Linked DNA regions of Neurospora crassa OR74A. The protein of the gene in region 3 purifies or fractionates together with the protein of the main gene of each other region. This does not show direct contact. Links are inferred from orthologs where the notes say so. Each region holds a gene or a part of one and is shown on either strand. Other genes may lie near its edges. The genes, in order: NCU04404, NCU04293, NCU10066, NCU02538, NCU01992, NCU00493 and NCU08811.

Region 1 (4,295 bases), on a different chromosome or scaffold from region 3:
ACGGTAAGGTTCTGGAGGGTCTCAGTTGTTTGGTTGACGAGTAGTACGTCTAGTACAATGTCGAACTGGTGGACCTTGACATAGGCCTCAGCATAAACAGGGTCGGAGAAACCGGTGAGCTGGACAACGCGGCTAAGCTTGCCAGATAGGTCCTCAGCCGAGCTGTTGTCTCCACCAGTGGCACGCTCGAGATCGGCATCGAAAGCATCAGCCCCATCAGTGGCATTCTTCTTGGAAAGCTGGCGGATTTGATAAACATCGTCCACCTGGGTGGCCGTCTTTGCCTTTTGGTGGGCCTCTTTTGCTGCGCGCTTCTTCTCCTCAACCTGGACCATCGCCCTGAACGCCTTCCTGGTATCCTCGAGATAAACGGTCTCCAACTCCTTGTGCGCGGTGAACTCGGCAAGGGAGCGCACACAGCTCATGATACGATCCACCGAATCTTCATCAATAGGGGCCTTGACGAACTGCGACTGACCAACACGAATGACGGAGATCATGATGAGCATAGCCTCAGCGCGGAGGGCGTTCGTGCGAGCCTCTTCCGAGGAGATCTCGGCATGACGCATGACAAGCTTGGTAAGGGTCGATGCGAGAACAGTGGCAAGGTAGTAATCGCCGTCAAGGATAAGTTGCCTGAGAGGGGGCTTCGACGAAGCCTTGACAGCCTCCAGGCGTGCAGCAGCTGTAGACTGGCTGGTAAGGGCAGTCTCGGTAGCGTATGTGCCGTCAGCAAGGACCTTGCGTGAGCCAGTCGGCGCTGCCCTTGAGCCATTGACCTGCTCCTTCTCCTTCTCCTCGGCATCACCATCAACATTATCCAGCAACCGTTGCTCGGATGCCAAGATCGGGATCTCACCCAGGCTTGCCCGAATTCTCTTCCATGCGTCCCTGATATCCTTCTCCTCAAGCGAGTACTCGCCGATAATCCAGAGAATACCGCGGTAGATCTTACCAGCGCGGACTTCACTCAGGGTATCTACCAGTCTCGCAATGATTGCTGGCCTGAGCTGAGGGAACTTCTCGACGACCTCCTTGACAAAGTTAATAACATCAACGGCGGAGTTGTTGTTGAAATCGGCAATAAAGTCCATGAGCAAGCCGACGACGCTAGCGGCGACTTCGGAGAACTTGATAGCGCATTGATGGATGGAGTGGATAAGAAGCTGGCGGTACTCGTTGTTCTTCTCGTACTCCTGGTCAACCGTCTTGGACAGCTCCTTCTTGAGCAAAAGCACGACTTCCTCCACGTTCTTGCTGGAGACCATCTCCAAAGCGATCTCGAGACCCTTCCTCCGCACATCGATATCCGTGCTAGAGAGAACGCGCAACACCTCCATGGTCAGGTCGTCCAGGACGCCGGGGTTCTTTTGGCGGAGTTGATCGACACGGTCCAGAACGATAAGCTTGACATTGTTATCCGCCTCCTTGATCGCAAGCTCAATGAACTTGCTGGCAGCAGCCTTGACAGCGACAGGGTTGTTGGTGAGGGCCGTCAACGACGAGGCCGCTTCGTAGATAACGGTCGAGGCACTAGCTTCCAAAAGGTCAAAAATAAGACGGAGGTAGCGCGCCTTGTTCTGGGTGTTGACAACAGCATCTTTCCTGATGAACTCCAACTCGGCCAACTGCAAAAGCTCATCTGCGTTGGGAATACCGTCAAAGACGGTGCTGAGATAGAGAAGAGCCTTGTCGTGGTCGATGCTGGCAAGGGCGGCGAAGCCATTCCGCTTGCAGGTTGGGTCGCTTTCGCCTTCGAGGAACGTGGAGATCAAGTCCGCAGCATCGGGAATAAGCGACGGGGAGTGCTGGTAAATGGAAGCGACAGCAAAGACGGCGTTCTTTCGGACATAGGCATGGCGATGTTCGAGACAGCCCCGGGCTGAGGAGAGCAAAGGCTCGAGAAGTTCGGCCTCCCGCAGCTTGCACAGGAAGCGCAGCGTGTTGCCTCGGATGTACTCGTTCGGGTGTTGCAAGTCGTTTCGGATGCCGTTACTGCGAGGCAATGGCTGGTCAGCTTGGAGGGGCCAGCATGCCCAGACGGACACGGAATGCCTTACCATACTAGGATGAACTCCTGCTTGAGCTTCCCTTGGGCATCAAGCTTGGGGCAGATCTCATAGTAGAAGTATAGAAGCTTCTTCAGGGGCTTGGATTTAGAAGGCATTACGAATCGGATAATGTGCATGAGCAATTGGGGCATGGGATCGCCATTGAGCATGATGGTAAGAATGCGCTTCATGGTCTCGATCTTGGTCTCGTCGGTGCCCTTTTCGAGCTGCGTCTTGAGCTCCTGCACGGTTGGGGTGCCGTCGACGGCATTGTCCTTGACCAAGCTGTAGGCATTTTCGAGGAACGACATGTTGGAGAGCTGGCGGCGGCCGGGCCGTCTTTGATTAAAGTTGAGATTGAATTTGGTAGAAAGTAGCTGGCCGGGCGTCCTGAAGAGGAGTCGCGGATCGAAATTAGAGAGGGGCGGGTGTGGTAAGGTGTTGTTTGCCCCGTTGTAGGTTGCGTGGTGCTAGTAAATGGATGGACTGAGTGGCTGCCTCGAGCTCCTGAAGAGTGACGATGAGCTGGCCTTGGTGCTGGATGTGGTTTCCTCCCCCTGGACTGACAGGGTCGTGGTTGGCCGAAAATCAAGAGACGGCTGCGCAATGAAAGGGTTGTCTGGAGTGCGCCGGCGAGGTGAGAGAGCGGAGCATCACCTGTGCTTGTTGTTGAAGTCTGGAAGAGCCAGCGTGGATAGGACGGTCAATTCTATCGAGAGACGGCCCCTGGGAGATGTGGCATTCTGGCCGGCCGCAACAGCACACGGCGAAGCACGGACCCCCCGACACCCTTACGGCCTCACCAAGCCTCCATCTCCTGGCCGAGTCTGCCATCTGCCAGCTTGTCCAAACAGTCGAAGGATCACGTGTAGATACGGATTGCCAGCTGTCAGGAAGGCTCGTGAACCCGGAGTCAGCTTGGAGCCCAAACAATGCCCCTGGGCCAAGCTGGGGTCAAGTGTGGGGCCGTGTGCCCCGCCAATGTCACTGGAGCGTGGCCGCGCGGGCGCGACTTTCAAGGTTGTCCATCCAAAAGCGACAGGAACCAAGCCGCTGGCTGCATCTCTGCCTCTTGTCTTGCAAAGCCTACTACTGACAGAAGCAACAAACAGCCATGTCAGCCGCCAACGAACCCTTCTATCTGCGCTACTAGTATGTACACCCCTACGGGATTCGATTCACTCACACATTGAAAACACCATGCTAACAGCCGGCTTAGCTCTGGCCACTCGGGCCGCTTCGGCCACGAGTTCCTAGGTGTGTTCAGCCATTTGCGCCTCGAGACGCAAGCTCCCACGTTTCCACGACCACGATGCTAAACTACCGCCCTTTGACTACAGAGTTCGACTTTCGCGTCCTCGGCGACGGACGTAGCGCCACTGCCCGATATGCCAACAACTCCAACTACCGTAACGACAGTCTGATCAGGAAAGAGAGTAGGAAACACTGTTTAGCCGGCCGTGGACATCCATATACTGACGAGGGTCTCTTTTAGTGTGCGTCAGCTCTCTGGTCATTGACGAGATCAAGCGCATCATCAAGGACAGCGAGATTATGAAGTACGACATCATGTTCACCCTTTTATACAAACAACATGGAGCGGCTGCTGACAGGCCAACAGGGAAGACGACGAGAAATGGCCGACCAAAAACAAAGACGGAAAGCAGGAGTTGGAGATCCGCCTCGGGAACGACCACATTTCATTCGAGGTGCGTCTTGCCAGTGTCGGAATCTATTTCTGCAAAATGTTCAGAGCTAATACAGGAAATAGACTGCCAAGATCGGATCGATCAACGATGTTACGGACTCGGCCGACCCAGAAGGCTTGCGCGTCTTCTACTACCTCGTTCAGGACCTCAAGGCGCTGGTGTTCAGTCTCATTGCCTTGCACTTCAAGATCAAGCCCATTTAATCTTCCGACACGAACGAATACCCCGAGTTTGATATATCCTTACTCATGGAAAGGAGAGATTTTGTGGGATAATGCGGCGTTTTATAAAGGCGTTCTTTTCTATCTATTGGCGGCGCAGATGGGTTTCTTGAAACTGGATTTAACATGGATAACTTCGGGACTGGCACAATCGTATACATTATCGACCAATCGCCCCACTGGCCCCCGAACCTAAGAGTCGTCATGGCTGTTTGTGTCAGCTATTGATGATGACCAACCAAGCAGTGTGAGGCAAGATATCCGATGCAGTTGCCAGGCGGAGACCGAGTGATGGAACACCGACATCTCATTAC
Region 2 (4,083 bases), on a different chromosome or scaffold from region 3:
GGATGATGGTACCCGGTATGCATAGCATTCGCATATGCGAGTGCATGGAGCCATACGCCAAAGAGGATAAATTTTGCATTTCAAGTGCTTTCCAAAGAAGCGAAAGCAAAATTAAAAACATCAAAAGCATGCAGGGAAGAAAAAGAGCGGCACATTTGGGCGTTTTGGGTTTTCGACATATTCCCTGGAGGGGATGATAAGAGTAGAGAGATTTCTTCGTCTTTTTTTATAGAAGCGTCTGTATACCCGGAAGAGCGAATAAAGTTAACAAAGATTAACTCTGTTCCGTTTATGAAATATGTGTGGTGCAAGGACCTTTGATATGCAACACGGCTGGGAAGGTAGGACAGGCAGTTAATCTACTACTTCCTTATCTACCTGTCTACCACCGGTTAAATAGACATGAGGTCGTTTTAAGGCTCAGTCAAACCTTACCAAACCTTAGCAGTACTACTAACAGCGGCAATCACAGCATCGCTTCCAGGTTACACAGACATGGACATAAGACGAAATAACGGAACGTGTAAATATAGACGCTACCAACGCTGTGAAAACCTGAAAATTCTGTAGATCTTTCCAACTCAATCTCGACGTCTCACCCAATTTCTTCTACATCCGTCTATCTTTCTCTCTTTCACACTCTACCTGTCCTCCACAACCACCACATTTTGGTTTTTCTCCCACCTACAACTAATCATCACGCTCATGTCCCTTCCCACCCAACATACCCTCACTCGGCCCTCCGGCCCTCCTCCTCCTCTTCCCCCACACCTCCTGACACCAATCACTAATCCTGTACCCCCAATGACCCGCCACCAGCGCACCACTAATGACATTGACGACCTTGATGATAAAAACCAGGAAAGAATCCCGTTCCTCGTCGATGTGCAGCAGAATCGGCTCAATGTCGTACTTGACAAAGATGCCCGGGATGATGCGCTCCGTGACTTCCTGCGACTGCTCCGTGACGGCGTACTGGTTCGTGACGATGGATTTGCCTGACGACGAGTAGACGGTGGGGACGACAGAAATAAAATACTGGAACTTGTGGAAGTTGGCCGAGGCGATGTTGACGGTTTGGTCGAGCGGGTTGACGAGGGAGGGGAGAAAGGGGCCGAAGGAGAGCTCGGAGATGATGTGGGAGAAGTTGAATGCTGTTTTTTGTTGTTGTTAGTAGCTGTTGTTGTGGAAAATAGAGTTGGATGGTTGAAGTTTCGGCAAAGGTAAGAGAAAGAGAAAAGAAAACAAACCAGAATGATCCAAATGCTGGCCAAACTCCATATATCCATGTCCTTTGGCCGTAATATGAAAGTCGCCCTGGACCTTGTTCAACTCCAGACTGCCAAACACCCTACAGCTGTCCGGCGTCGCCCCCCACAACCGCGGCGTCCTCGCCCACTTGGCCTTCCGCCTGCCCAAAGAAACAATATCATGCACGTGCTCCTCCCCAAACCCTTCGTCATGCCCCTGCCCCTGCATGTACCCCTCGCCCGTAACCACCTTGCCCTGGGCGTCCCGTCCCAGCTTGTGAATCCCCTTGTTGTCGACCCAGTGCTGCCACACCGTCGGGTCGCGATGCAGCCGGGAGGCAGCCAGGATGCGGTCGCCGGCCGCGTCTTGCACGTTGATGTGGATGTCTTGGCACTTCATTTTGACGACAATGTCGAGGTTGATGTCGAGGGCGTGGGAGACGCCCTTTTCGACGGCAAAGGTGTGCGATTCCGAGCCGCGCCACCAGCGGGAGGCTTCGGACCAGAAGAGGATGAAGGAGATGAGGCCGACGAAGACGGTCCATTTGCCGCCGGCGGTGGTGCGGGTTACGTATTGGGGTTTGGATTTGGCTGTGTAGTAGTAGGTAGGACTTTCATGTTAGTTTATTTGAAGATGTATGAAAGCGCATTGGATGTGGGAGGGAGGGGAGGGAGGGACGTACGGAAAGCGTCAAAGGCGCTGACTATGCTCCCCTTGGCGCCAAAGGCGTCTTCGTCTAGTTGACGCTTCTCGTCGTAGCCGTTCATCTTTATGCGTGTATGTGTTTGTGTATCGTAACCGGAGTTGCGAAAAGGTAAATATGTCTGGTTTCGTATGTTGGATGCGATTCAGCACTGCAATCCGTGCCGGTGTTGTTGGTCCCCCTTCTTCCTCTGCCACTTGTCAGGGCGGCGGCGGCAACCCAAGCTGTCGGTTGGTGGTGACAGTGACCACTGTTTTCCGTTTTGAATTTCTTTTCGATTCCAATCTACAGCGGATTTCTGATCCTGAGCTACCGCATTGGTGTTTTTTTCGAAAAGCACTTTGTCGTCGAGACCCGATGGTGTAGTTCCGGAAGGACACAGCCGGCTACTGCTGCAGGTAGCTCTTGTCCTTTGGGGGAAATTGCGAATGCGCCCACTCAGCTAATTCGTCATCCGGTTCGCGAGGATTGGCTCGGTTCGTTGGACTAAACAAATCCACTCAGTCCCTGCTGTGGAAAGAAAGAGGATGAAGATTCAAGCTATGTACTAGTACACCAAACACTGAAGAAAGCAGAAGCAAGTTCTATGGAAAAAGGGTGGTGATCCTGGCGGCTGAAAGACACCGGGCGTTCGTTCCCTTGCATGGATGAGGTGCCATTCGGAGGACATTCATCGATGAGGACAAGTGGACGTTGGTCCCCGCGAAACGATCCGCCGTGGCTTGGCGTTTGGCCGTAGATCCCTGTGTGCCTGACAGGGGCCTGTTACGGGAACTACGCTGGAATTAGCTCGAGCATGCGCATGGCTGGCGGGAACCCGTTTGCCATACTTAACCCTGACCCTGACAGGCCTGCCTTGCTTTACCCCTGAATCGTCGTCAACAACATCACTCCGTTACCGTTACATGACATTTCGTCTGGTGTTAGTAACAACTTCTTCGCCGGCATTTGACGAGAATTCAGGATATTTTCTGAGGGTTCCTACGTGCCTGATTACAGGTCCAATTCTCTAGACCCTTTGTTTTGTCCAGTTGTCTTTCTTTGAATTTCCGAGCATATATCACGGTGCTGGTTACGATCTCTATGTATCTTTACGTGCTCTCAACGACTCCTATCACGGCAGTAATCCGTTTTCAAACCCGTCTCCCTTTTTGAATGTTATGACTCCGTAACTGTCCGTCCTTCTCGTGTACCTCATAGCATTGTTGGCCGTTCAAGGCTTGGTCTCTGATGTATTGGCTTTGTGTCCATGTTGTTCAAGGGAGTCCGGACTTTATGGATACGAGGTGTAGGCGTGGTGTGTTTGTACAACACTCCCATGGAAATCTAATTGGTTTAAATCTCTTGGTTAACATATCCAAGCGCTTCTGTACCTATCCAGTTAGCCCCCCATTTTGATGAAGATGACCTAGCCGTACTTTCAGTGTGCTATCTTGGATACCCGTGATGATTCTGATGAATGTTTACATATCGAAAATATGTTAGGCATGTTTAAGGTTGTTGGAACGGCTGTCTTTGAGGACATGTATCAATCCAACAAAGAAACAAGTCCTGGACTGTATCCGCAACCTGTAAAAGTCGTCACGTTAGAACAAAAAGGATAGTAGTCAGATGGAGAGCTTCGTATTGTGTTACACTTGATGTATCCTATGTAAGATGCCATACATTTTGACCTGTTAATTTTTCAGTTCCCTCTATTCGCTTGGAGAAGCACCATTTCAGGTAATTTCATCCATTATTGTTCGCGATAACAAACAATAATCAAAAACGGACGGGCAGACCGCCGCGCGGTCAACCACTTTCTTAAATCGTTGCTACTGAATGATGGAGAGTTTATCGTTGGCAGATACGGTACTGCTCATTGCCATCGATGCCATAGAACCCAATGGGATAATGCCCAGGAAACTCCTCAGGCCCATTGTCATATCCACAAACATCTTTATTGCACCTGCCCAACATCTCGTTGACTGAATCCTGACATTCTTTTGACGGGAGGTTCTGGCCTTTCTCGTCTCCTGAATGGATTCAAAAAGATAGCTGGAGGCAACTTTCTTTGACATCCCGCTATCAATGCAGCGCGCTCACCAGGTCCCTTCCTCTCCTCGAACAAATATCAACCTTCATCCCTC
Region 3 (4,088 bases):
GACGAACTGGAGCGCAATCTCAGGGTAGCCCTTCTTCTGAAGGTAAGCAATGATTGACTGGCCAACCAAGCTCGAGTTCTGGATGATGTGTAGCATTTCCTCGTAGTTACGCTTGACAAGCGCAAGCTTGAAGCGGTACTCGGTGGGGTCAATCTGCAAAATCTTGGGCTTCGCAGCACGATCAAGGCAGTACACGTTTCTACCCTTGACACGGGTGAGGTAAACAGTCTGGTCGAGGGTGCAAACGATGCCGTTATCGCCATTAAGAAGCGTGTACTTGACGTGGTTGAGAGTCGAGTAGAGCAGAACACCGGCGTCATCCCACGCAGCACTCTTGAGACGGATAGTCTCATGTAGAGTGCTAACCTGCTCCAGGGTCTTGGTCACAATTGTCACATTGTGCTTGCTGAGCAGAGCGGCGTAAAGACCATCGTTAGACCAGACAACGTATTTGACGCCAGTTACAGCCAGCTCGGCAGTGCTCTTTCTCTGCTGGATATCGTAGAGGTGAACAGCGGTCGGAGTAATGATGAGGAGGTTGCCGGTGCCGCCGAAGTAGATGTCGGTAGTGCCAACAGGGGGCTTGAACGATCTCGTGGTGTTGTTGGTCAAGTCCTTGATATCGACGGTCTGGGTGGCAGTGTTAAGAACAGCGAAACGGTTGCGAGCCACAAAGACAGCGGAGTTGCCCTGGCCCCGCTTGGATTCTGTGGGTTCGATAGCTCCAGAACCATCGCGAGGAAGGGTGATGAGCTCGTACGACCCACCATCCGCCGGGGAAGTGACCAAGATTGACCTCTCCGCGGGGTTGTAGGAGAGCGTCCTTGGGGGCACCCAAGGGCTTCCGAGCTTCTTGAGCGACAAAAGCGTGGGCGATTCGACATTCTTCTGGAAGTCGTACATCTTGACGTGCTTCTCCTTGGTGATGTAGAAGATGTTGTTCTGATAAACGGCGGAAGCGGGCCTCTCGCGCTCGAGCTTGAACACCATAACACCATTGTCGTGACCAGCAGCGAACAAGTTGATTTCCGGATGAGCAGCGATGACCCAGATCCTATCGTTCTCCCGCTTAAAGGTGTTGACTACGGTACGCTTGTTAAGATCCCATACGCGAATCGTCTTGTCCTCGCCGGCCGAAAGGATAAGGTCCTGGTGGGGGTGGAAAAGACAGCCGCTGGCGTTCTGGAAATGGCCGCGGCAGGTATCGACTTCCCACTATGGATGGTTGGTTCAGTCAGCAAGTTGTCATCAGATGCACAAATCCTCACAACACGTACAGCCTTGGTCTCGCTCATGCGCCACAGCTTGATAAGGCGGTCATCACCGGCGGACACGATCAAGGGCATGGTGGGGTGGAAGGCAACCCAGTTCACACCGCGGTCGTGGCCCTCGAGAACGAACTTGACAACGGCGTCGGTATTGCCGAACATGTCGGTCTGGTTGGCATTGGCGCGAGCAACTTGGTCCTCGAAGGACATGGACGTGGGCGCGGAGTGCTTCTTGCGGAGGCCCGAGACTGTGACAAGACAAAATGGTCAGCCATCCATGTATTCCGCAGATATCCATGCCATCTTTCCCAGCTAAGGCACCACGTACTATCCCAAACGCGAACAGTCTGGTCGAGGGAGGCGGAAACGATGAGGTCCTCCTTGGGATGGAACTGGGCGCACATGACGTAGTGGTTGTGGCCCGTCATGGTGCAGAGCAGGGAGCGGTTCTGCCAGTTCCATATCCGAATCGTCTGGTCGTCACTAGCACTGACAATCCAAGGAAGCTCGTGGTGGAAGAAGACGGTGCGGATGTAGTCCAAGTGGCCGTTGAGTGTAAAGAGGCAGCGCCGAGTCTGGAGAGACCAGACCTTGATCTTGTAGTCGTCACCGCCAGATACGAAGAGGGGCTGTAACGGATGTGTAAGCTAGCTGTCGATAACTCGGGTTCGGCGCATCGAGGGAACAGGGAGCTCACCTGTGTCTTGTGGAAATCAACGCCGCGGACGGGGCCATCGTGCTCTTCGAATCGGTCAATCAGGGTACCCATGCGGTAGTCCCATAGCTGAATGGTGGAGGAGTGGAGGGAGACGAGAATCCATGGTCTGGAGGCAAGGCCATGTTAGTTTCGCGTTTGGTTTTCTTGACAGGCGTAGACATCAAGACCCAGGTCAAGTGACGGGGGAGCTTCTGCTCTTTCGTGGGGACGGAGAGGCTGACCGTTTGGGGTGGAAGGCGATGCCCTTTGCTCGCGACGACTTGGACTCGAACTGCGCACAGGGGTAAGGTAAGATGTTAGACACGCTCGAGCTGGGGAGAAGGCACATGGAGAGTGGACGACAAGCAACGTACTTTGGTGAGCATTCCCGAGGAGGCCTGCATCTTGCCAGTGGCTTTAAGGGGAGCACAGCCTAAGCTCCCGGCATCAACGTGGGAAAGGTGGATTAAGTATTTAAGTGGGAGACGGGGGGAATTAGGACGCGATCAGCCGAGACGCCGTGAAGTCGCAAAATACTATGGGAGATGGGGATTGCCGTTCGGAGGGTGGGAGGAGGAGGAGGGGTGGTGGTGGCGGCGGCGGCGTGGTGGTTTGGGGAATGAACGGAGCCAAAGTGGAAAGGAAGTGTCGAGGTAGACTGAGTGTCGGGTACAAGCTGAGTGCTCAGTGTAGGACCAGTCGTTCGAAACAAGGTCCGCGATGGATGCCAGGCACTCACAATCAACTAACGGAGCTGAGGTGCTGGAGTGGACAGGACGGTCTCGGGCGGCGGCTTCAATTCCACTTGTTAGGATCCATACTACCCTTACCTGTGTGGTAGGGAAGCGTGGCATCTCCATCGCACCGACCTCACCTCCCCATTCAGTGCTGGCGGGCGCTGCAGCTGCCACTCGCACAGCACCTGTCTGTCCACTGCAGTTGGGGCCTTGCAGACACGACTGGCGTGGCCTCAGCGGGCAGCGGCACTCATCGATTCCACCTAGTCGTGCACCGCCACGCCATAAACACACAGAGGATCCGCAATTCAGGGGCTACGGCATGCGTAAGCCTCATTTAAGGGGCCGCAAGTCAAGGGTCGCACCAGCCACAACCTCCCATGTGAGACGGATGAACCCTGGCGGCCACCTGTACACAGCTTCCCTCAGACGCTAGACCGAACTGGGCGAGCTCTGTTGCTTCACTAGTGTACAACTGAACAGCCGGGGCGAGGTGTTCACACGGCAGGAACCTCAGCGCCCACTTGTTTGTGAAGCTATCCCCAATTTCACCACTCCATGTGTATCTGGTGACTTTGCCAGATTACCGAGGTTGTTATTTTGTTTGAACGCTTTTGAGTAAACCGGTGACCTCTTACTTGTCCCGTTTTGTATAGCTCTATTTACAACACCAACACCAACACCACCACCACCACCACATTCGAGCTGTGCCGTTTCACGTTGGTGACATCCAACGTGGCACCTTTTCTCATCCCACTCATGATTGAGCTTTGAAAACAGGCAGCCATCTCATCGAGCAATCTTCTAACTCCGCATTACCTCCCTGCGTCACCATAAATAAACCTGCTTCCTGGTCCAGACAACCATGATCCGTCTCTCCCAGCTGCCGTGGGGTCTAGCGGCAGCCATTGTCACGGCGACATGGCTTCCCTCGCACCACGTTGCAGCTTCTCCCTCTGTAGACGTCGCACTCAAGGCCGCGTTTCCTTCGCCTCCGTATCTGGTAGAGCTCCTGTAAGTTCCCTGGCCCTCCTCCTTCACTCGCACCGGACCATTCTCACATCCGAATCCAGCGAAACCGCGGCTTCCGAAAATGCTACTGCCTACTTCCCACTGCTGGACCGCATTGCCAAGGGAGACTTTGCCCAGGCCAAGTCCGACAAAGAGCTCTATGAAAAGTTCCTCCAGGTTCTTCAAGAAGATGGGCATGTGAATGCTGAGGCGCTGTCGACCTTCAAGCTGGCTCTTTCGTTGCGGTCCGCTGCGCCCCGTGTCGAGGCTCATTATCAGTACTATACCACTGCTGTTGAGCCATATGTAGTGGCCGATGAGGACGGATGTGATCTGTGGTTCCTATTCAACGGGAAGCAATACTGCAAAGCCAGC
Region 4 (4,142 bases), on a different chromosome or scaffold from region 3:
TGAAGGGAACTATTTGCGCCAATATTCTAACTCTCACTACCCGATTCAAACGCTTGCACCTCCCACAACTCACCCCAATCCTCAATCGACACCACCACACTATAACCACAGACATAACTAGACCAAAATCTACGGCAGTGCCATTGATGGCACCCGCTATGACAACTTCGACGACAATGGAAACCCGGATTCTCAAAGTGAAGGTGGACGACAGCAACATCCAAGTGCTCGGCCACTGGAAGGAGGAGTCAGCAGAACACAAAGATGGAAGCAAAACGAAAACTAGCAATCTCAACACATGGGAGGTCCCAACTACATCAGAAAATGAGAATATACTGTCTCCCATCCGCGAAGCAGCCCACCACCTCCGCACCACCGACATTCCTGTCGCCTTCCCCACGGAAACCGTCTACGGCCTAGGCGCCGATGCCACCCGCAGCGCTGCCGTCAAGGGAATCTATGCCGCCAAAGGTCGACCAAGCGATAATCCTTTGATCGTGCACGTTTGCGATTTGAGCATGTTACGGTCATTCATCTCTCCCTCCTTCTCCTCAGCAGGAGACGAAGAAGACCCCATCCCAGCCATCTATCACCCCCTCATAACCCGCTTCTGGCCCGGCCCCCTCACCATCCTGCTACCCAACCCCTCCCCCTCCCTCCTCGCTCCGGAAGTAACCGCCGGCCTACCCACATTCGGGTGCCGAATGCCCGCCTCGGCGCTGGCTCGCTCGCTGATCAAACTCGCCAACGCCCCCCTCGCCGCGCCCTCTGCGAACGCCAGCACTAAACCCAGCCCCACCGCCGCACAACACGTGTTAGACGATCTACGGGGTCGCATCGCACTGATCTTGGATGGAGGATCATGCAGCGTAGGGGTGGAAAGCACGGTCGTCGACGGGCTTTGCTCGCCGCCTGTGGTGCTGAGGCCGGGCGGGGTCAGCTTGGAGGAGATTAGGGAGTGTAAGGGGTGGGAAGGCGTGGAGAAGGCGTATAAGGATCAGGCAGAGGTCGGAGGAAAGACGGCGCCGAGAGCGCCGGGGATGAAGTATAAGCATTATAGCCCGAAGGCGAGGGTGGTGTTGTATGAGGCGGAGGGAGGGAGGAGGGAGGTACCGAAGGCGGATGTGAGGGAGGCGGTTGAAGCGGCTGGGGAGGAGGAGGGCAAGGGAAACGTGAAGAGTGTTGCGGTTATTAGGACGGGGAGATGGCCTGTTGCCGGGGGGTTGAGGAGTCAGGGGCTTGATGATGTTGCTGCGAAGGACAGCGGGGACGTGGCCGAGACTGGGTTCGCTGTCAGGGAAGGGCAATGGCTGGATGAGGACGGCACCACGGTGTTGGCAAGGCTTCTGGAGATTGATCTGGGCAACGATGTCAAGGGGGTGGCACATGGCCTTTTCGCTGCCCTCCGAGAGCTGGACAGGCGCGGCGCGGATGTAATATTCGTAGAGGGTGTGAGTGATGGAGACGATATCGCGGCGGCGGTCATGAACAGGCTGAGGAAAGCCGCTTCCGACATTAGAATATAGACGGGGTCAAACCCTATAGATCGCAAGGGAAAAGACTATAACTCCTGTTTTCTGCTAACCCATCACTTGTTGGCTTTTCGTGTCTTTTTGCTTCGCCTTTGGCTCATTACTCTGCCATAAAAAGGCTCGCCAAACAAAAGGGCCTGATACCTTTTTACGAACCAATGCGCCAACTTTACCTTGGTTGCTCCCATCCGCCACACTCCTTCCCTTGTCATTACCCACCCGCACATGCCCTTAGAGACCCTGACGAAGCCAGTCAGTAAGCTTAGCCTTGCCTAGTTGTGCCAAGTTGTTGACACCCTGCTCGGTGAAGGGGTCGAGGCGGCTGAGGTTGACATCGGCAGGCGGCGCCTTGCTGCATCGTTGAATGATGATGGTGGGATCGGTCTCGAGAACAACGCCGTCATCCACGATTTCGTCGATAGCGAGGGATACCAGATCGTAGTTTTCGACTATCGTGCGCTTGTCGATCGATTGCCTGAGTAGAAAGTCCGTGGTTAGCCAAATCATGTCCCATGACCGGCACCTTCACGTTCGCCATAAATACTCACTTGAAGAGCATATGCAAGCTGTCCCTAAGCGCCAAAAGTACGTTGTAGAGCAGAACTTCGTTCTCGTCCGCGCTACCAACGACGTAGATAGCAACGTCCGACTCCATCTTGTAAAGCACCACCTTGTTGTCGTAGAGGAGGATATCGCCCGTCTGCTTAGCTGTCTTCTGAAGGAGGCCCTTCTCGAAACGGGTTTGAGAAGTCTTGTCGGGATAGGGGTTCTGGGAAGCGCTCGAGGAAGCTGTTGTGCACAAGGTTCGGGCTGGTCAGCCTTACGGGAACATGCGACACCGAATAAGGGGTAAAAGGAGCGTCTATTGCGTACCGAGTCCGGCGGCCACTCCTGTTCCTGGTGCGCCAGCGGCAGCGTGAGGAGGAGTGTAGTATTTTGAGAATATCCGCGAACCGTCATCGCTGGAGAGGATTACTGTTGGAACGCAATTGTCAACATTGCTCGACGTGGCGCGTATAAGCCAGGACCCAGGAGCAGCGTGGTGCCTAGTGTACCTATAGCGTTGACGCTATACAGCGACATTCCTGGCGACATCTTGACTGGTTATCTGGGGGTTCTTGTTTCTTGATCAATTGCTGTCTCGAGACTGGTATCGGTTGGAGAAGGTCGGCGACGAGGGGCAACTCGACTTCAATGGGCGCAAGTGGGTAGGTATATAGTGGTTAGCTTGAACTCCAGAGGTGCTGCGTAGGTAGGTAGTGCTCACAATGACCAGGGGCAGGCGGTATCGTTGGTTACCGTGGTGAGCGTGGGTATTGTGGGGTGAAGCGGTCCCTGTGATGTGGCTTGAATCCAGAGCGAACACTCCAAGCGAGGCCCCACGGCGCGGTACGTACCTTACGTACCTGACAGTTCGCACTCAAGAGCAGCACTGCAGTGGCCTCGTCCGTCTCATTTGGGTATGACAGGGGTTTTAATGGGTCAACGCGAGTAAGCCCCCGCAGACACGAACGGCCGTGTAAAGTGCTTTTATCAGAGACGCGTGTGTCGCGACTGTCTTTTTTTTCGATAGGAACGTGATCCACCTTGCCCGTCCTGAACACGCTGCCGACCTGCCAACCACCTCGCAATTACAGAGGGATCGGGAGCCGCCACAACAACACTCCAGCGTCTCCATCCCAACCTGCCCGTCTTCTGTCCCTTCTTGTTGGTTTAGTTTCCATACTTTGTATTATCTCAACAAAACCACCGAGGACAGAGTAGTAAACATGTCTTCCCCAGCAAAGCGCAGAACAACGAGAAGCTCCCAATCAGCTACTCCCCGCACTACTCGCAGCTCGCAGGCTGGTCCTTCGAGCGCAACTCCTCGCCAGACACGCGCATCACAGCTTGCCTCTAGTCCCTTATTCTACGAGCCCTCCTCGCCTGCCAATGGCGCCGCCCCGGTATCTTCTCCCTTGAGGCAGATGAGCAATACCCAGAGCACTGCCCACCAAGGCAATGCGCCGAGCTCGCCTTTGCGCCAGCAGACAGAGACCCAGAGCGATGCTGACCGAACTCCTCGCGCAAACGGACGGAGCCAGTTAATTGGGGGTATGGCTGTCAACCAAAAAAAAAAAAAAAAGGACTACACTGAATGCTGACCACACTCCGCAGACTCCTCTCCCATCCGCTATGCCTCCAGTTCTAGCCCGGGCCGTCAGCTTACTCAACAGTCCGATCTTCGTAGCGAAAGCAGTCAGCTCTTCGTCAGCTCGCAAAGGTCCGTTGCCGGTCGATCCCGTCGAGGCGACATCAACGGGGACCCTCTTCGTACTCCCGCCCAGATTCCCCGCCGAATCATCCTCGACGACGCCGGTCGTGTGATCCGCGATGCCCCTGGCTCCGATGCCAACTCGTTTGTCACCAATAACCCCAATACCTCTGAGGCAGATGCCCTTGGTGGACAAAGCCAAGGTCTTGTTTGGGGTACAACAATTTCTCTTGACGATTCGTTCTCCGCGTTCAAGGACTTTCTCAGGAACTTCACCAGGAAATACCGGATGTGGGCAGATGGCGCGGACGAGGCCGAGACTATTGGCCATCCGGATGCGGATTCGAAGCCATATT
Region 5 (4,145 bases), on a different chromosome or scaffold from region 3:
AGGATGTTGATCAAGGCAGTGGATACGTACAAGTGTAAATGGAGCGTCATCGAGAAGGAAATAAAGGAGGGGAAAATCCCTTTTGAGCGCCCTCGTGACCAGCAGGCTTTGCGAGACAAAGCTCGCTTGCTAAAGCAGGACTTCTTAAAGTGAGTGACTTGACGCCTTGCTTACTAAACCTTATCTGGCCGCTACTGACACGTCTGGTACAGGGCTGATGCTATTTTGCCTCCGTCCTTTGATCTCGTTGTGCTGGGCAAAAAAGAGAAAGAAGCTGTGAAGGCATGCGGCAAAAATCCCGACCGCAAGGAAGACGACGTCCGGAACGGGTTTCCCATCAATACTGATTATCACGCGCAAGAGCCGATGCAGGAGCAAGCAAGCGCCGCCGAAGCGGAGGACCAAGCGCAGGTGCAGGGCGAGGAACAACCGGACATGCAACTCGAAACACAGGCGGAGGTACAGACTGAGGCGCAACCCGAGGCCTCGGCAGTGGTCTCAGATGAGGTGCCTGTCGATGCAGAAGCGATAGAAGCTGCTTCCACATCATAGGGTCCATTTGTGTATCCGATCGCTGATGCTACGCAGGTGAGGGCCGTAGCAGGAGAGTGATATAAGAAGCTGTGCCTAAGAGTACGCCCCAAAAGAGAGCAAGCAAACATACTAGAAAACAAATCATGCTTTTATGAGCCAAAGCAAGGCTATATGTCCTTTTGGAGGAAGACGAAAAGGAAGAGATGGGTACAATGGATGCTCGGACCAACTGTATCCTTAAGTACAGGCTGGGACTACCGTTGAGGAGAACCAATTGACAGCAAGAAGGGCTCACGATAATGCAATTTGAGTAAAGTAGTCAGTATCAAGCTGTCATTCAAGCCGAAAGGGAAGGCGGCCACCTAGACCGAGTGTGGGATGTAAAGCTTGGCACTGAACAGGTCCAAGTAAAGTATCAATAGTTATCATGGTGATTACTACGTACTAGCAATCTTGGTTCTATTTTTCCTTCAGAAGCACAAGTGAGGTGACCTGGCAGGTTGAACAATGTCAAGTTTGTCTTCCAGGAACAACATCCCGTGTGATTATATTGAAAATAATTAAACTCGATGATCTACTCAGGAGGCGGGAGGGAAGCATCTATGTAGAGGTAACTAGGTATGTACATATTGGAAGGGTGGTCTGTGCGCTGTAACACCCGCTCCTTGAGGTTGACGATGCACATGGAGAAGCTTGCTCCTGCCGGGAGGCTTTCAGCCTCTAACTGGCGAGACTGGCAGCGTGGCCCGGGAGCACGGACTCCCTGACACCTCAGTGGACTCCCCCTCGACTGTGCAGTGGAATTGGCAACGTCGCGGGTTTGGGGATACCCGCTTGCTGGCCGCACCGTCGCACAGGCAACACGCTACTCCGTTATTTCGTACCTCTATTGTTCTAGCCTCGACTTACTTGCCTCAACAACAACAACTTGGGTTTCCCAAATCCACATCACACCTCCAGCACCCATCGTCGCCCTGCCCGCCATGAATTACGGCAAAAAGGACGAGGATGCTGAGACGGGTCTGGTCAAGGTCGACCGGACCCAGGTCTTCCAGGAGGGTGAGTCCGAGTACCTTGGCAGCTGAGGCATTGTTCGTCGGGTGGACGTGGCCCTTATACTCTCCTAACCTCCTCAAGACTGACCGGTTCGACATACAGCCCGCCTCTTCAACAACTCCCCCATTCAGCCGCGCAAATGTCGTATCCTCCTCACCAAGATTGCTCTCCTCCTCTACACCGGCGAAAGATTCCCGACAAACGAAGCCACGACGCTGTTTTTTGGTATTTCGAAGCTCTTCCAGAACAAAGATGCCAGCCTACGACAGATGGTCCACCTTGTCATCAAGGAGCTGGCCAACTCGGCCGAGGATATTATTATGGTTACCAGCACCATTATGAAGGATACTGGCGGTAGTACCGATGCCATCTACCGCCCGAATGCCATCCGCGCCCTTTGCCGCATCATCGATGTAAGCCTCCCCCTTCCTCGACCCCTTAATGGTTATCCGATGTGGAGCTAACCCCGACCTTGTGCAGGCCACCACAGTACAGTCCATCGAGCGTGTCATGAAGACGGCCATTGTCGACAGAAACCCCTCAGTATCCTCTGCCGCCCTCGTATCGTCATATCACCTTCTCCCCGTCGCCAAGGACGTCGTCAAACGGTGGCAGAATGAGACCTCGGAAGCGGCAGCTAACACCAAGTCTACCGGCGGTTTCTCCCTCGGTTTCGGATCTTCCAACAGAGATCTGCCCATCAACAGCTCGACTATGACCCAATACCATGCCATTGGCTTGCTTTATCAGATGCGCATGCACGACAGGATGGCGTTGGTGAAGATGGTCCAGCAGTTCGGTGCTCCCGGTGCCGTCAAGAACCCCGCTGCTCTCATGTTGCTCGTCCGTCTTGCCGCCCAGCTGGCCGACGAAGACCCACACCTTAGGAAGCCCATGATGCAGCTGCTGGATGGCTGGCTCAGGCACAAGAGCGAAATGGTCAACTTCGAGGCCGCAAAGGCGATTTGCGATATGCGGGATGTCACCGACGCTGAGGTCACCCAGGCAGTCCATGTCCTCCAACTTTTCCTTACCTCGCCCCGCGCTGTCACCAAGTTCGCCGCTCTTCGCATTCTCCACAACTTCGCTTCGTTCAAGCCGGCGGCCGTTGCTGTATGCAACCCGGACATTGAGCTCCTCATCTCCAACAGCAACCGCTCCATCGCTACTTTTGCCATTACTACCCTACTCAAGACCGGAAACGAGGCCAGCGTGGATCGTCTGATGAAGCAAATTTCTGGCTTCATGTCTGAAATCACCGATGAGTTCAAGATTACGATTGTCGAAGCCATCCGTACTCTATGCCTCAAGTTTCCCAGCAAGCAGGCCGGCATGCTCCAGTTCCTCAGTGGTATTTTGCGCGATGAGGGTGGCTATGAGTTTAAGCGCGCCGTGGTGGAGAGCATGTTCGATCTTATCAAGTTCGTCCCCGAATCTAAGGAGGAGGCTCTCGCTCACCTGTGCGAGTTTATTGAGGACTGCGAGTTCACCAAGTTGGCAGTCCGTGTCCTTCACCTCCTCGGTCTTGAGGGACCCAAGACATCCCAGCCTACCAAGTACATCCGATACATCTACAACCGGGTGGTTCTCGAGAACTCCATTGTGCGCGCCGCAGCGGTCACTGCCCTTGCCAAATTTGGTGTCGGCCAGAAAGATCCTGAAGTCAAGCGCAGCGTAGAGGTTCTCCTCACCAGGTGTCTGGATGATGTTGATGACGAGGTTCGCGATCGTGCTGCTCTCAACCTCAAGCTTATGAAGGAAGAGGATGAGCTTGCGAACAGGTTTGTCAAGAATGGTAAGTTCTCGTCTACTTTATGTTACGTTTGCCGGATGCGATCACATACTGACATGTCAACAGACAGCATGTTCTCGTTGCCCTTTTTCGAGCATCAGCTCGTCACGTATGTTACTTCTGATGACAGGTCGACATTCGAGGCGCCTTTCGACATCTCCAAGATCCCTGTTGTTACCCGCGAACAAGCAGATGCCGAGGATAGGACCAAGAAGCTTACTGCTACGACACCTTCACTCAAGCCACCCAAGGTCGGACCAACCAAGGCGGCTCCCACCAGCGCCGAGGCAGCCGCATCTGCCTCGGCAGCTGCGCAAAAATATGCGCAGGAGTTGATGCAGATTCCCGAGATGGCAGAATTTGGCGCCGTTCTCAAGTCGTCGCCGGTGGTAGAGTTGACCGAGGCGGAGACCGAATACGTCGTTGGAGTTGTCAAGCATATTTTCAAGGAGCATATTGTGCTCCAGTACGAGGTCAAGAACACCCTTCCCGACACCGTATTAGAGAACGTCTCTGTCGTAGCTACTCCCGCGGAAGAAGAGCTTGAAGAATTATTCATTATTCAGGCTGAGAAGCTCGAGACCGACGTTCCTGGAAAGGTATATGTGGCATTCAGAAAGGTCAGCGGTGAGGGTTCGCTACCAGTTAGCACCTTCTCCAACGTCCTCAAGTTCACCAGCAAGGAGATTGATCCCAGCACCGGTGAGCCTGAAGAAACCGGCTACGATGACGAGTACGAGGTTGCCGAGTTTGACCTGGCGGG
Region 6 (4,206 bases), on a different chromosome or scaffold from region 3:
GCCCATTTGGGGACATTTTGTAGGATCCGTTGGTGACTTTCAGTTGGATGATGTTATTTGGACGTGGAAAGCAGCGGCTAAGTGGTTCCAGCCTTCAACTCCGGGACGCAAGATTTTGATTTGAATGACACGCGCAAGTCCATAACTTGGCAAGTCGGTTTGTATGTTTGGGGGATTTCGGTTTTGGTTTGCTAGACCTACAGCTTCACTTGCCTCGGCGTGATGTTGTTGTTGTTGTTGCTGCTGTTCTGCGATTCAGTCGTGTGGTCTCGTCCTGCCTGTTGATTCAAAACACAGTGCAGATAGAGCAGTTGCCACAGTAATAGAAATACTGTGCAGGGGCATCCGTACTGTGTAGGTATGACCTTTACAAGCTTACCTAGCGAACTACACACATCGACATCAATTACCATACTCTGTGCTTACAACAGCGATGATTGAGTTGGATAGCTCTTTGCGTAGATAGGCTTCTTTCTATATGGTACTGGATCATGAGGGTATCCATCCCCTTAAAAATGCGTAGGGCTCGTAGCTTACATGTTACTTTCAAGGATCCCGGGAGCGTCAAAAACCTCTTGTTCAAAAAGTCAAGTATGACCTTGGGTATCAACGGAAGAAAAGGAATGACAGCTCGAGCACCCACTGGCGCGGACCATGTACAACAGTATTCATTATAAAGGGAGTTGGACAACTCGGTTGCTTCCCATACATTACTCTAATTCTGGTGTGGAAGATGATGATCGAGACGCCTGGCCGGCATGCTACGGTCGCCCTTTTTTGGTTCTGCTCAAAACAATGACAACAAACCCTACTCAATGAGGAACTTGTCGGCCACCGATCTGATGTCCTTGGAAAACGAAACCTCTTCACCTTCATCCACCAGCTCAACAGATTGAACCTAGAATGTGTCAGTTGTTCCGTCTTTACCCGTTTTTCTGACATGAGGGGGCGACATCTTACATCAACCTCCACGAACGGCCACGACTTGGAGAACCGTACTTGCATCGGGAAGAACTCGTTCTCGTCATCGGTCTGCGCCTCAAACTCGAATGATCCGCTGGCGTTCTCCTCGCTTACGGTGCCTATCGACCACTCTAGACTGTCACCAGACACCTCATACACAGCGTCGAAGCTAGACACCTGAGGCTCTGCGCTCGTGTAGGGGATGACGACAGTAACGTCCTTGAGGGTATCTCCGCCAGTGAGCTCGTACTCGACCGTCAATGTGCTGTTGCCATCCGAGCCCTTGTTGACCCAAACGGTGAAGCTGATTGGTAGTGCGCTGGTGTCGTCGACTCTGGGACTGGCCCGCCACCTTAGAACTCCGACAGAGTTGTTAAGGGGGAAACCCTTTGTGATTTGAGACAACTGGATAGCCTGGGAGCTATTGAAGACATTCTTATCGACGTTCGGGTGAGTGCGGAACTGGGCGCCGTGGGTGGGTGTGGCGCTGAGGTTGAGCTTGATCCTTGAAAGCGATGGGTCGGAGACGCGAAGCTGGAGGTCACCGCTGACCGAGAGGGATTCGAGGGCACCATCTCTCGACAGCTTGGCACTGATTGCCTCGTTGATAAGGACGTGAATAGCATCCCTGTCGAGTGTCGAAGAGACTCTGGAAGCAGCAGGCTCTGCGGCAGCTGCCGGCGCGGCTACCGGAACAAGGGGCGCTTCCTCGGCCTCGTGTCCAAGATCCCCCTTCACGCGCTCGAAAATATCCGTATTCTTGGACTTCTTGCCCAACTGCATACCTTTGCCCTTTGGCGCATTGAACCTAGAAGAATGTGAGCTTGCAGGCCAGCCTGAAAAGAAGAGGGACTAACACATACTTGACCTTGTTCTTCTCGGCTTCGTACGTATCATAGGACTCGGTGACAGCAGGTCGCACCGGCGGGGTGTATGTGGGATATACCGGCGTCCGGGGTACCGCGGACCGACCAGTTCTGGCCGACTCCTTGCGCTGCATCTCCAACTGCTTGGCTTTCCTCTTGCGCTCTTCGGTGGCCTCCAGCTCCTTGTTGCGGGCAATGATTTCCTGAATGCGCTCCTCGTGGCTTTCCATCTCGAGGAAGGTCTTGATCTGGCTGATGGTGAGGTTCTCCCGGTAACCGAGAGTCACCAGCTCATCGAAGGCGCTGAGCAGTTCGTAGGCATTTCGGAGGATTTCGCGCTCGTCAAGGCTCTTGCAGGTGCTGGTGACAACCTGGGCAAAAAGGTGGAGCGAGTCGATGTCCTGAAGGATGTTGGACTGCTTGTTGGTGATGAGGACCATGTACAGCTCGTCCAGGGGCTGGTAGACGAATCGGACATTGTCTTGCTCGACAATGGTGTGCTGAGTACCCGAGTCGGCGGCCTTGGGGAACGAGGCGAGGAGAGCTTCGATGCGGGAGCGCTTGATGTCGTTGAAGGCGCGGGCTAAGACGGCCTTGCCGCCGCGGGTGCAGATGGAGGCAGCGAGGACAACCTGACATGTTCCGTCAATCGCTTCTTCCCACCAGGAGACAGGGATGGATGAGTTACCATTTTGACAGCAGTAAACAACAACCACGACTACTGACTCGAAGGGCGCTTCGTGGTAGTGCAGGGAGCTTTGGGATGCGTTGGAGGTAAGTCGTGAGCTTCACCTCCTGAAAGTTGTCGTGGACGGGAAGGTTGATGTGGTCTTTCCGTTGCCGTGCTGAGGTGTGCTGTCGGTCAGGTCCAATTGAACTGAAGGTGCCATCTGGAGGGACCCAGCGGGCAGCGATAGGTAGAGGTACCTGGACGGCAGCTTCACTGCAGCGTCAGGGCAGTCGGGTTCAGGCGGGCCAGGGCAACCTACTGCGTACACGGTGGCAGCGTCCTGGCCGGCCGACGAGGGGCTGCCAGCTGGCAAAAGAAATCCAGGGGCACACCATAGATACAAGTACAGTAGGTAGGTACCTCTAGGCACCCACAGGGCCCGCTAAACTCCATGCGGCACTTGCTTAGGTTCAGTTTCCTTCCTATGATCAATTCTGCGAATTTCACCGTTGTCCACACACTGCGGCAAAACCAACAACTGCACCTCTTTCTTCAACACGCACAACAGACGGCCCCGTGTGTCGAAATTTCACGATTTCCATTTCCATCCAAACCATCGCCTACCTCGAAAAACCATCCGCCATCGAGAAACTTGTTTCTCAATCGCGTCAAAGCATTGCCCAGCCAATACGAGTCTCGATTACGGATCATCAAATACCTACGCTACCTTTGTGACACGCCTCGTCATCAAGAGCTTACTCGACTCCGTTGCACTTCACCCACCTCCCAGCTCCGCCGCTCCGTGAAAGTGAGGCATCCCGATTATCTGCCTGCCGCGTTTCAGCATTCCATACCTCGATTCGATGTGCACTTTTGCCCAGAACATCCGCCCCAGAACTCTTAACAGCGGTTAAATCGTGTTGTCGGATTCCGCCAGTCCACGTGTCGCCTCACATCCCTTCACCGTTTCATTTTGCGCCCCAGAAGCGCCGTTGTTTGTCGGGCGTTCTTTGTCGAGTGCGGGGTTGCCCATTCTCAGCCATAACTCCAGAACCCGTGGTCTCTATATGCCCTACGGCTTCGCTTCCAAGAAGAAGTCACAGCCTTTCAGTCCAAGACATCCACCGAAACCCATCGCCAAGCTTGGGGTTTTGACCAGTGCACCAATTTTCTACGTCTTCGCTTCTTTCATGACGCTTGCTGGACGTACAATTTCTTGACAACGGCAATACGTCGCACCTTCTTAGAAACTTCGTGGAAGTTTTGCGTCATTTTCCAAATTTTCGTTCTTGATCCAACTCACTCGTCTGTGGCGCGTGTTTTGATTGACCCGCCAACCGCCAATCATCATGGAGCAAGTTAGCTTCGACGTTCGTGCCGAGGCGGGGAAGGCGGTATTTGACGATGACTTGATGCTAGATGCCGGCATGCCAGCCGACGAGCTTGTCTTAGAACTCGACGACCTACATGACAAGGAAGATGAGTACCAGGCGATCGATCTTGATGCCCAACCCGCCACAGCGGATGTTGAATTTGCTGTCGATGACCTCGAGGCTCAGCATAATACCAACGATGAGCAAGCAGAGGCGGCAGGCGGCGTCGAGCAAGATGCTCAGGATGTCTCCATGGCATACAATGACGAGATAGGTTATGAAGAGGAGGAGGGCGTTGCAGAAGAGGCTGTTACTGAACACGAGCCCGAAGATA
Region 7 (4,046 bases), on a different chromosome or scaffold from region 3:
AAAAAAAAAAAAGGGGGCCGAGAACATTAGGTCAATAAAAAAACAAAAACAATCGCAAAAAAAGAAAGTTTGGTTCATGATCCGACCCAGGCTCGATCTGGGGACCTTCAGTGTGTTAGACTGACGTGATAACCAACTACACCATCGGACCAGCTGTTGTTATTGATAGAATTACGCTGAAGGTAGGCCCTATATCAGTAGCTTCTATTATGGTTGCGCGAGTCAGTTATTAGCAAAAATCTCGCTGAAACCCTGATCAACATCACGATCTCTCCCTGTCAACCTCGACTGCCACCGTAATCGAAAAACCGTACGCTATAGAACACCATCATATCTCTTTCTTGTTGCTTGAATACTTCCCGTGGTCACTTACCAAGATCCCCCTACGCCACGGATGTGAGAACAGCTCATCCAGATCCTGGCCGTCATCCTCTTCGTTAGATATCAGAAACCCGCATCATCTGCCCAGACTACTAGTGCTCTCTACCATAAAACATTCATTCACCATTACACTACAAATACTAATTTTTACTAAAAGGAAGCCTTACCCGCTCGTCCACATCTTTCTGTCTCATAACTAGGTAATTCCCTTCGCCCATCACGTCCAGCTGCCCACCCACACTGCTGCCTCATTCTTCCATTTCCACCGCTCAGCTCCCAAGATAAGCCCTGATAGCACCCTGCAACCTCCCGGCACCCTCACCCACCATCTGCGTAAGGTTCTCCAGATCATCGCTGGCAGTGATGCCAAACTTGCGAATGAAGTCCTTGGCGGCAGACTCGAGGTCGCCGTAGTCTTCGGCGGGCGCGTCGTCCTCGGGACGACCAAAGTAGGCATTGGAAGAGATGGCCTGGGCACCCTCGAAGCCTTGTAGACGGGCCTTGGTCTCGGCCTTGACCGAGGGGTCGTAGTTGCCCTTGTTGAAAAACTCGTCCGAAGAGATGGCCTTTTGGTTGGCGAACTTGTTGCGGGCGTATTGTTCTTCGTCGGCTGTTTCGTATCGATGTTGGTTAGTATTGCGTAAGAAAAAGAAAAAAAAAGAAAGGGAAAGGAGGGAAAAAAAAAACATACCCTCACTAGCCTTAATAGGCCCAACACTTCCAAACCCACCCGCATTCTTCTTCGCCGCCGCCGCTCCTCCCGCGCCCGCCGCAGCACCAGCACCACCGGGCTTGCCCACCATACCGAAACCCAGCTTCCTGACACCCATACCTAGCCTCTCCACCTCAGCAGCCGACTTCTCCTGCGCCGCCGACCGCGAACTGGAGGAGCTGACTGGCGCCGCAGCAGGGGTGATGATATTATTGGTCTTGGTCTCGGCCTTCTTCGCCGCCTTCTCCTCCTCCGCCTCGGGATCGTAACCCAGCTTCTCGATGCGCTCCGCCTCCTCCTTGGCCTTCTTCTCCGCCTCGTCGAAATCGATCAGGTCCGCCGAAATCTTCTTGACGCCCAGCTTAGCCGCGGGCTTCTTGGCGCCTAGGATGCCGCCGCCCACCTTGCGCGGGCCGCCGGTGGTGCTGCTGCCGGGGGTGGTTTTCCTTAGGGCCGCGGAGGTGGTGATGCGGCTGGCGGCGGGGGCGGGAGTGGGAGCATCGGAATCGGTCTTGGAGAGCGGCGAGGAAGTGCGCTGGATGTCCTTGCCGTTGCCGAGGAGCGGGGAGGCGGTGCGGCCGATGACGGGGGGTGTGGAAGTGCGGGAAATGGGTGGCGTGGGCTTCTTGATGGCGGGCTTGTCCCACGAGGAAAAGAAGTCGTCGTCGGGCTCGCCGGCCGGGGTGTTGCTGCTTGTGGCATCGTCACCGTCGGTGATGACAACTTCTTCGGGGTATCTGGGTGGGAGGTAAACAGCGCGTCAGCATTGCATTTCATGTAACGTGGAATAAAACAGGTTTGTGTAAATGAGGGGTAGGGGCATTGCATACTCGCGGGCGTCCCTAGCAGCCCTCTTCTTGAGCTCCTCCTTGTACTTGGTCGCGGCAGCAGATTGGTACTTGGTCTTGGGGTCCTTGCTGTTCAAGGCGGCGGAACCACCGTTTTGCTGAAAGAACTTGGTTGCCGACTCATTGCCGCCCACCTTCATGATCCGTAGCTGGTCCCATTGCCATTCTGTACAAGAACAAGGTTCGCGTTAGCGGGCGAGGTGTCGCGTCGTGGAGTAAAGATCGAGAGGGCACATACGGTCGAGGTTAGTAGACCGCACAAAGGAAATGTGAACGCCGAGGTTGCGGTGGTTGGCCGAGCAATCGAGGCAGAGGTAGATGCCAAAGGGGACCGAGGTCCATGTTGGGTTCTTTTGGCCGCAGTCGAAGCAGATCTGTTGTTCGCGGGAAGGGAGGCAGCAGTTAGCTTTCTGGATGTCTAGGGTCGATCGCTGCTCGCGTGGGCACATACCTTGTTGGCTGGCTTCGCCTTGAGCTTCTCAAAAAGCTTGAGCGACTGCTGCTTTGTCGCGAGACCGCTCATCTTGTCGGTCGGCAGTCCGGTGATGGTTCGGATTAGGTATGTCTGTCCTTTGCCAGGGTTGTGATGTGTCACTAGATCTCGACTGTCGTTGTTGATGACCCCTTTGCTCGGTTAGGTTGTCAGGGTCGGTAGGTCGGTGCTGCCGTCAGGGGGGGGAAGGTGAAAAAGGGGGCAGAAGAGGGAGAGAAGTCAAACAAGGCGGCGCTGTAGGTTTTCGGGCTTGTTACAAGTTGTCAATCTTTCAAGTGTTGTCATTCGCTCGCAGTTAATTCAGGAGACGGGGGGGGAGCCCCAGCGGAGAGAGCCGGGCTGCCTGGCAACCTACCTACGTACCTGTATGGTATTGGAACGTCCACTGGAACGTTGGGCCACATTTCTTTGTGTTCCCCAGCCAAGAATCAGACGCTTCCACTTGCTCATGGAGGTTCGCCCTTCCATGTGGCATCTTGGCGCCTTGGCACACAGTCCCGTCTCTACCTAGTGGAGCGCAACACGAACCCGACTCCACCCCTCGCCGGACGGACCTCCTCTGCCGGGAAAGATGCCGTGCCGGCAAACGGTTCCAAAGCTTCATCCAACCGCAGCTCATCACAGCTTCGTTCGGACCTCTCATTCTCATTGAAGCTCTCATAACAATCGCAAACGGCTGAAACATTGCCGTTGAAATATGGGTGTTGTGTTGAAGCCTCCATGATGAAAATGCTCACAGGTACTTCGGCGGGTGTGAGGCTTCTTCTGAGCCCCGCCGTGGTCCGTCAACAAGCAACCATTACCACAGCAGCTTCGAGAGCTCTTCCTCCGACAGCAGCTAGCGTCATTCTCGTCTCATCGCGCCGGCAATATGCGACTACGCAAGAAAGTTCCAAGAGGAGATCCGTAACGCCCTTCAATGATGATGGCCATGTGCCCTGGACTCGGCTCTCCACCGGTGAAAAAGCCGGGCGCGCCGTCCAGCAAACGTTCAACTTTGGTCTGGTGATTTTGGGTGTGGTTTTGACCGTACGCTTTCTTCTTCCCAATTCATCGCTCACTCCGGTGTGTTGTGTGTAGTACTAACTCTACCACACAGGGAGGAATTGCCTACCTACTCTTCACCGACGTGTTCTCCCCAGAGTCCAAAACCGCCTACTTCAACCGAGCCGTTGACCGGATCCGTGCCGACCCTCGCTGCGTCGCCCTTCTTTCGCCCGGCGACCCAAAGAAGATTGCTGCTCACGGCGAAGAGACACACAACAAGTGGCGCCGGGCGCGGCCGATCGCGGCAACGGTCGAGAAGGATAATAGGGGTGTGGAGCATCTAAAGATGCATTTCCATGTTCGTTTTACTTCTTCTTCTTCTTTTTCTTTCCCCTGTTTTGTTAAAAATTTGTTGTGATGATGGGGCTAACACCAAGAAAAACAGGTCGAAGGACCAAGAGGTTCTGGTGTCGTCGGGCTGCATCTGACCAAGCAACCAGGTCACTGGGAGCATGAGTACCAGACCTTTTACGTGGATGTGAGGGGACATCAGAGAATTTACTTGGAGAATAAGGAGGCAGAAGTGGCGGCTGCTAAGAAGGGTGGCAACAAGGAGTTCAAGTTC

The links.
Region 1: the proteins of NCU10066 (region 3) and NCU04404 purify together in Saccharomyces cerevisiae (affinity purification with mass spectrometry; 8 studies listed by BioGRID). This does not show direct contact. The link is inferred for Neurospora crassa OR74A from reciprocal best matches to the Saccharomyces cerevisiae genes COP1 and SEC26.
Region 2: the proteins of NCU10066 (region 3) and NCU04293 purify together in Saccharomyces cerevisiae (affinity purification with mass spectrometry; 3 studies listed by BioGRID). This does not show direct contact. The link is inferred for Neurospora crassa OR74A from reciprocal best matches to the Saccharomyces cerevisiae genes COP1 and ERV41.
Region 4: the proteins of NCU10066 (region 3) and NCU02538 purify together in Saccharomyces cerevisiae (affinity purification with mass spectrometry, with the first as the bait; 5 studies listed by BioGRID). This does not show direct contact. The link is inferred for Neurospora crassa OR74A from reciprocal best matches to the Saccharomyces cerevisiae genes COP1 and RET3.
Region 5: the proteins of NCU10066 (region 3) and NCU01992 purify together in Saccharomyces cerevisiae (affinity purification with mass spectrometry; 8 studies listed by BioGRID). This does not show direct contact. The link is inferred for Neurospora crassa OR74A from reciprocal best matches to the Saccharomyces cerevisiae genes COP1 and SEC21.
Region 6: the proteins of NCU10066 (region 3) and NCU00493 purify together in Saccharomyces cerevisiae (affinity purification with mass spectrometry; 8 studies listed by BioGRID). This does not show direct contact. The link is inferred for Neurospora crassa OR74A from reciprocal best matches to the Saccharomyces cerevisiae genes COP1 and RET2.
Region 7: the proteins of NCU10066 (region 3) and NCU08811 purify together in Saccharomyces cerevisiae (affinity purification with mass spectrometry; 4 studies listed by BioGRID). This does not show direct contact. The link is inferred for Neurospora crassa OR74A from reciprocal best matches to the Saccharomyces cerevisiae genes COP1 and GLO3.

The regions. Positions count from the first base shown.
Region 1 is NC_026504.1:3,471,260-3,475,554, reverse strand, and holds the start of NCU04404 (coatomer beta subunit), read right to left. Parts: upstream 2,801-4,295; 5' UTR 2,363-2,800; coding exon 2,061-2,362; intron 1,996-2,060; coding exon 1-1,995. Other genes in the region: NCU04405 (mago nashi protein), read left to right, coding at 3,166-3,203, 3,271-3,308, 3,392-3,487, 3,547-3,610, 3,673-3,760, 3,823-3,963. UniProt on the Saccharomyces cerevisiae protein: The coatomer is a cytosolic protein complex that binds to dilysine motifs and reversibly associates with Golgi non-clathrin-coated vesicles, which further mediate biosynthetic protein transport from the ER, via the Golgi up to the trans Golgi network.
Region 2 is NC_026505.1:5,525,040-5,529,122, forward strand, and holds NCU04293 (COPII-coated vesicle protein), read right to left. Parts: upstream 2,631-4,083; 5' UTR 2,019-2,630; coding exon 1,934-2,018; intron 1,842-1,933; coding exon 1,251-1,841; intron 1,155-1,250; coding exon 691-1,154; 3' UTR 501-690; downstream 1-500. UniProt on the Saccharomyces cerevisiae protein: Constituent of COPII-coated endoplasmic reticulum-derived transport vesicles. Required for efficient transport of a subset of secretory proteins to the Golgi. The C-terminal Ile-Leu motif is required for exit from the endoplasmic reticulum.
Region 3 is NC_026507.1:2,814,662-2,818,749, forward strand, and holds the start of NCU10066 (coatomer alpha subunit), read right to left. Parts: upstream 2,801-4,088; 5' UTR 2,370-2,800; coding exon 2,340-2,369; intron 2,258-2,339; coding exon 2,208-2,257; intron 2,093-2,207; coding exon 1,966-2,092; intron 1,898-1,965; coding exon 1,597-1,897; intron 1,517-1,596; coding exon 1,278-1,516; intron 1,216-1,277; coding exon 1-1,215. Other genes in the region: NCU02349 (UDP-glucose:glycoprotein glucosyltransferase), read left to right, coding at 3,568-3,716, 3,776-4,088. UniProt on the Saccharomyces cerevisiae protein: The coatomer is a cytosolic protein complex that binds to dilysine motifs and reversibly associates with Golgi non-clathrin-coated vesicles, which further mediate biosynthetic protein transport from the ER, via the Golgi up to the trans Golgi network.
Region 4 is NC_026501.1:2,662,421-2,666,562, forward strand, and holds the start of NCU02538 (coatomer zeta subunit), read right to left. Parts: upstream 2,801-4,142; 5' UTR 2,628-2,800; coding exon 2,588-2,627; intron 2,508-2,587; coding exon 2,406-2,507; intron 2,322-2,405; coding exon 2,081-2,321; intron 2,008-2,080; coding exon 1,764-2,007; 3' UTR 1,527-1,763; coding exon of another isoform or gene 1-1,526. Other genes in the region: NCU11234 (translation initiation protein Sua5), read left to right, coding at 1-1,526; NCU02539 (cell division control protein 54), read left to right, coding at 3,302-3,626, 3,690-4,142. UniProt on the Saccharomyces cerevisiae protein: The coatomer is a cytosolic protein complex that binds to dilysine motifs and reversibly associates with Golgi non-clathrin-coated vesicles, which further mediate biosynthetic protein transport from the ER, via the Golgi up to the trans Golgi network.
Region 5 is NC_026501.1:1,752,650-1,756,794, reverse strand, and holds the start of NCU01992 (coatomer subunit gamma), read left to right. Parts: upstream 1-1,345; 5' UTR 1,346-1,517; coding exon 1,518-1,593; intron 1,594-1,692; coding exon 1,693-2,003; intron 2,004-2,070; coding exon 2,071-3,385; intron 3,386-3,448; coding exon 3,449-4,145. Other genes in the region: NCU01991 (hypothetical protein), read left to right, coding at 1-149, 213-552. UniProt on the Saccharomyces cerevisiae protein: The coatomer is a cytosolic protein complex that binds to dilysine motifs and reversibly associates with Golgi non-clathrin-coated vesicles, which further mediate biosynthetic protein transport from the ER, via the Golgi up to the trans Golgi network.
Region 6 is NC_026503.1:4,047,318-4,051,523, reverse strand, and holds NCU00493 (coatomer subunit delta), read right to left. Parts: upstream 2,801-4,206; 5' UTR 2,521-2,800; coding exon 2,518-2,520; intron 2,462-2,517; coding exon 1,827-2,461; intron 1,772-1,826; coding exon 961-1,771; intron 899-960; coding exon 809-898; 3' UTR 449-808; downstream 1-448. Other genes in the region: NCU00494 (hypothetical protein), read right to left, coding at 1-16; NCU00492 (hypothetical protein), read left to right, coding at 3,849-4,206. UniProt on the Saccharomyces cerevisiae protein: The coatomer is a cytosolic protein complex that binds to dilysine motifs and reversibly associates with Golgi non-clathrin-coated vesicles, which further mediate biosynthetic protein transport from the ER, via the Golgi up to the trans Golgi network.
Region 7 is NC_026504.1:5,157,952-5,161,997, forward strand, and holds NCU08811 (arf GTPase-activating protein), read right to left. Parts: upstream 2,801-4,046; 5' UTR 2,465-2,800; coding exon 2,393-2,464; intron 2,316-2,392; coding exon 2,180-2,315; intron 2,108-2,179; coding exon 1,924-2,107; intron 1,831-1,923; coding exon 1,073-1,830; intron 992-1,072; coding exon 651-991; 3' UTR 326-650; downstream 1-325. Other genes in the region: NCU08810 (mitochondrial import inner membrane translocase subunit tim-21), read left to right, coding at 3,155-3,463, 3,534-3,779, 3,867-4,046. UniProt on the Saccharomyces cerevisiae protein: GTPase-activating protein for the ADP ribosylation factor (ARF) family. Involved in retrograde vesicular transport from the Golgi to the endoplasmic reticulum.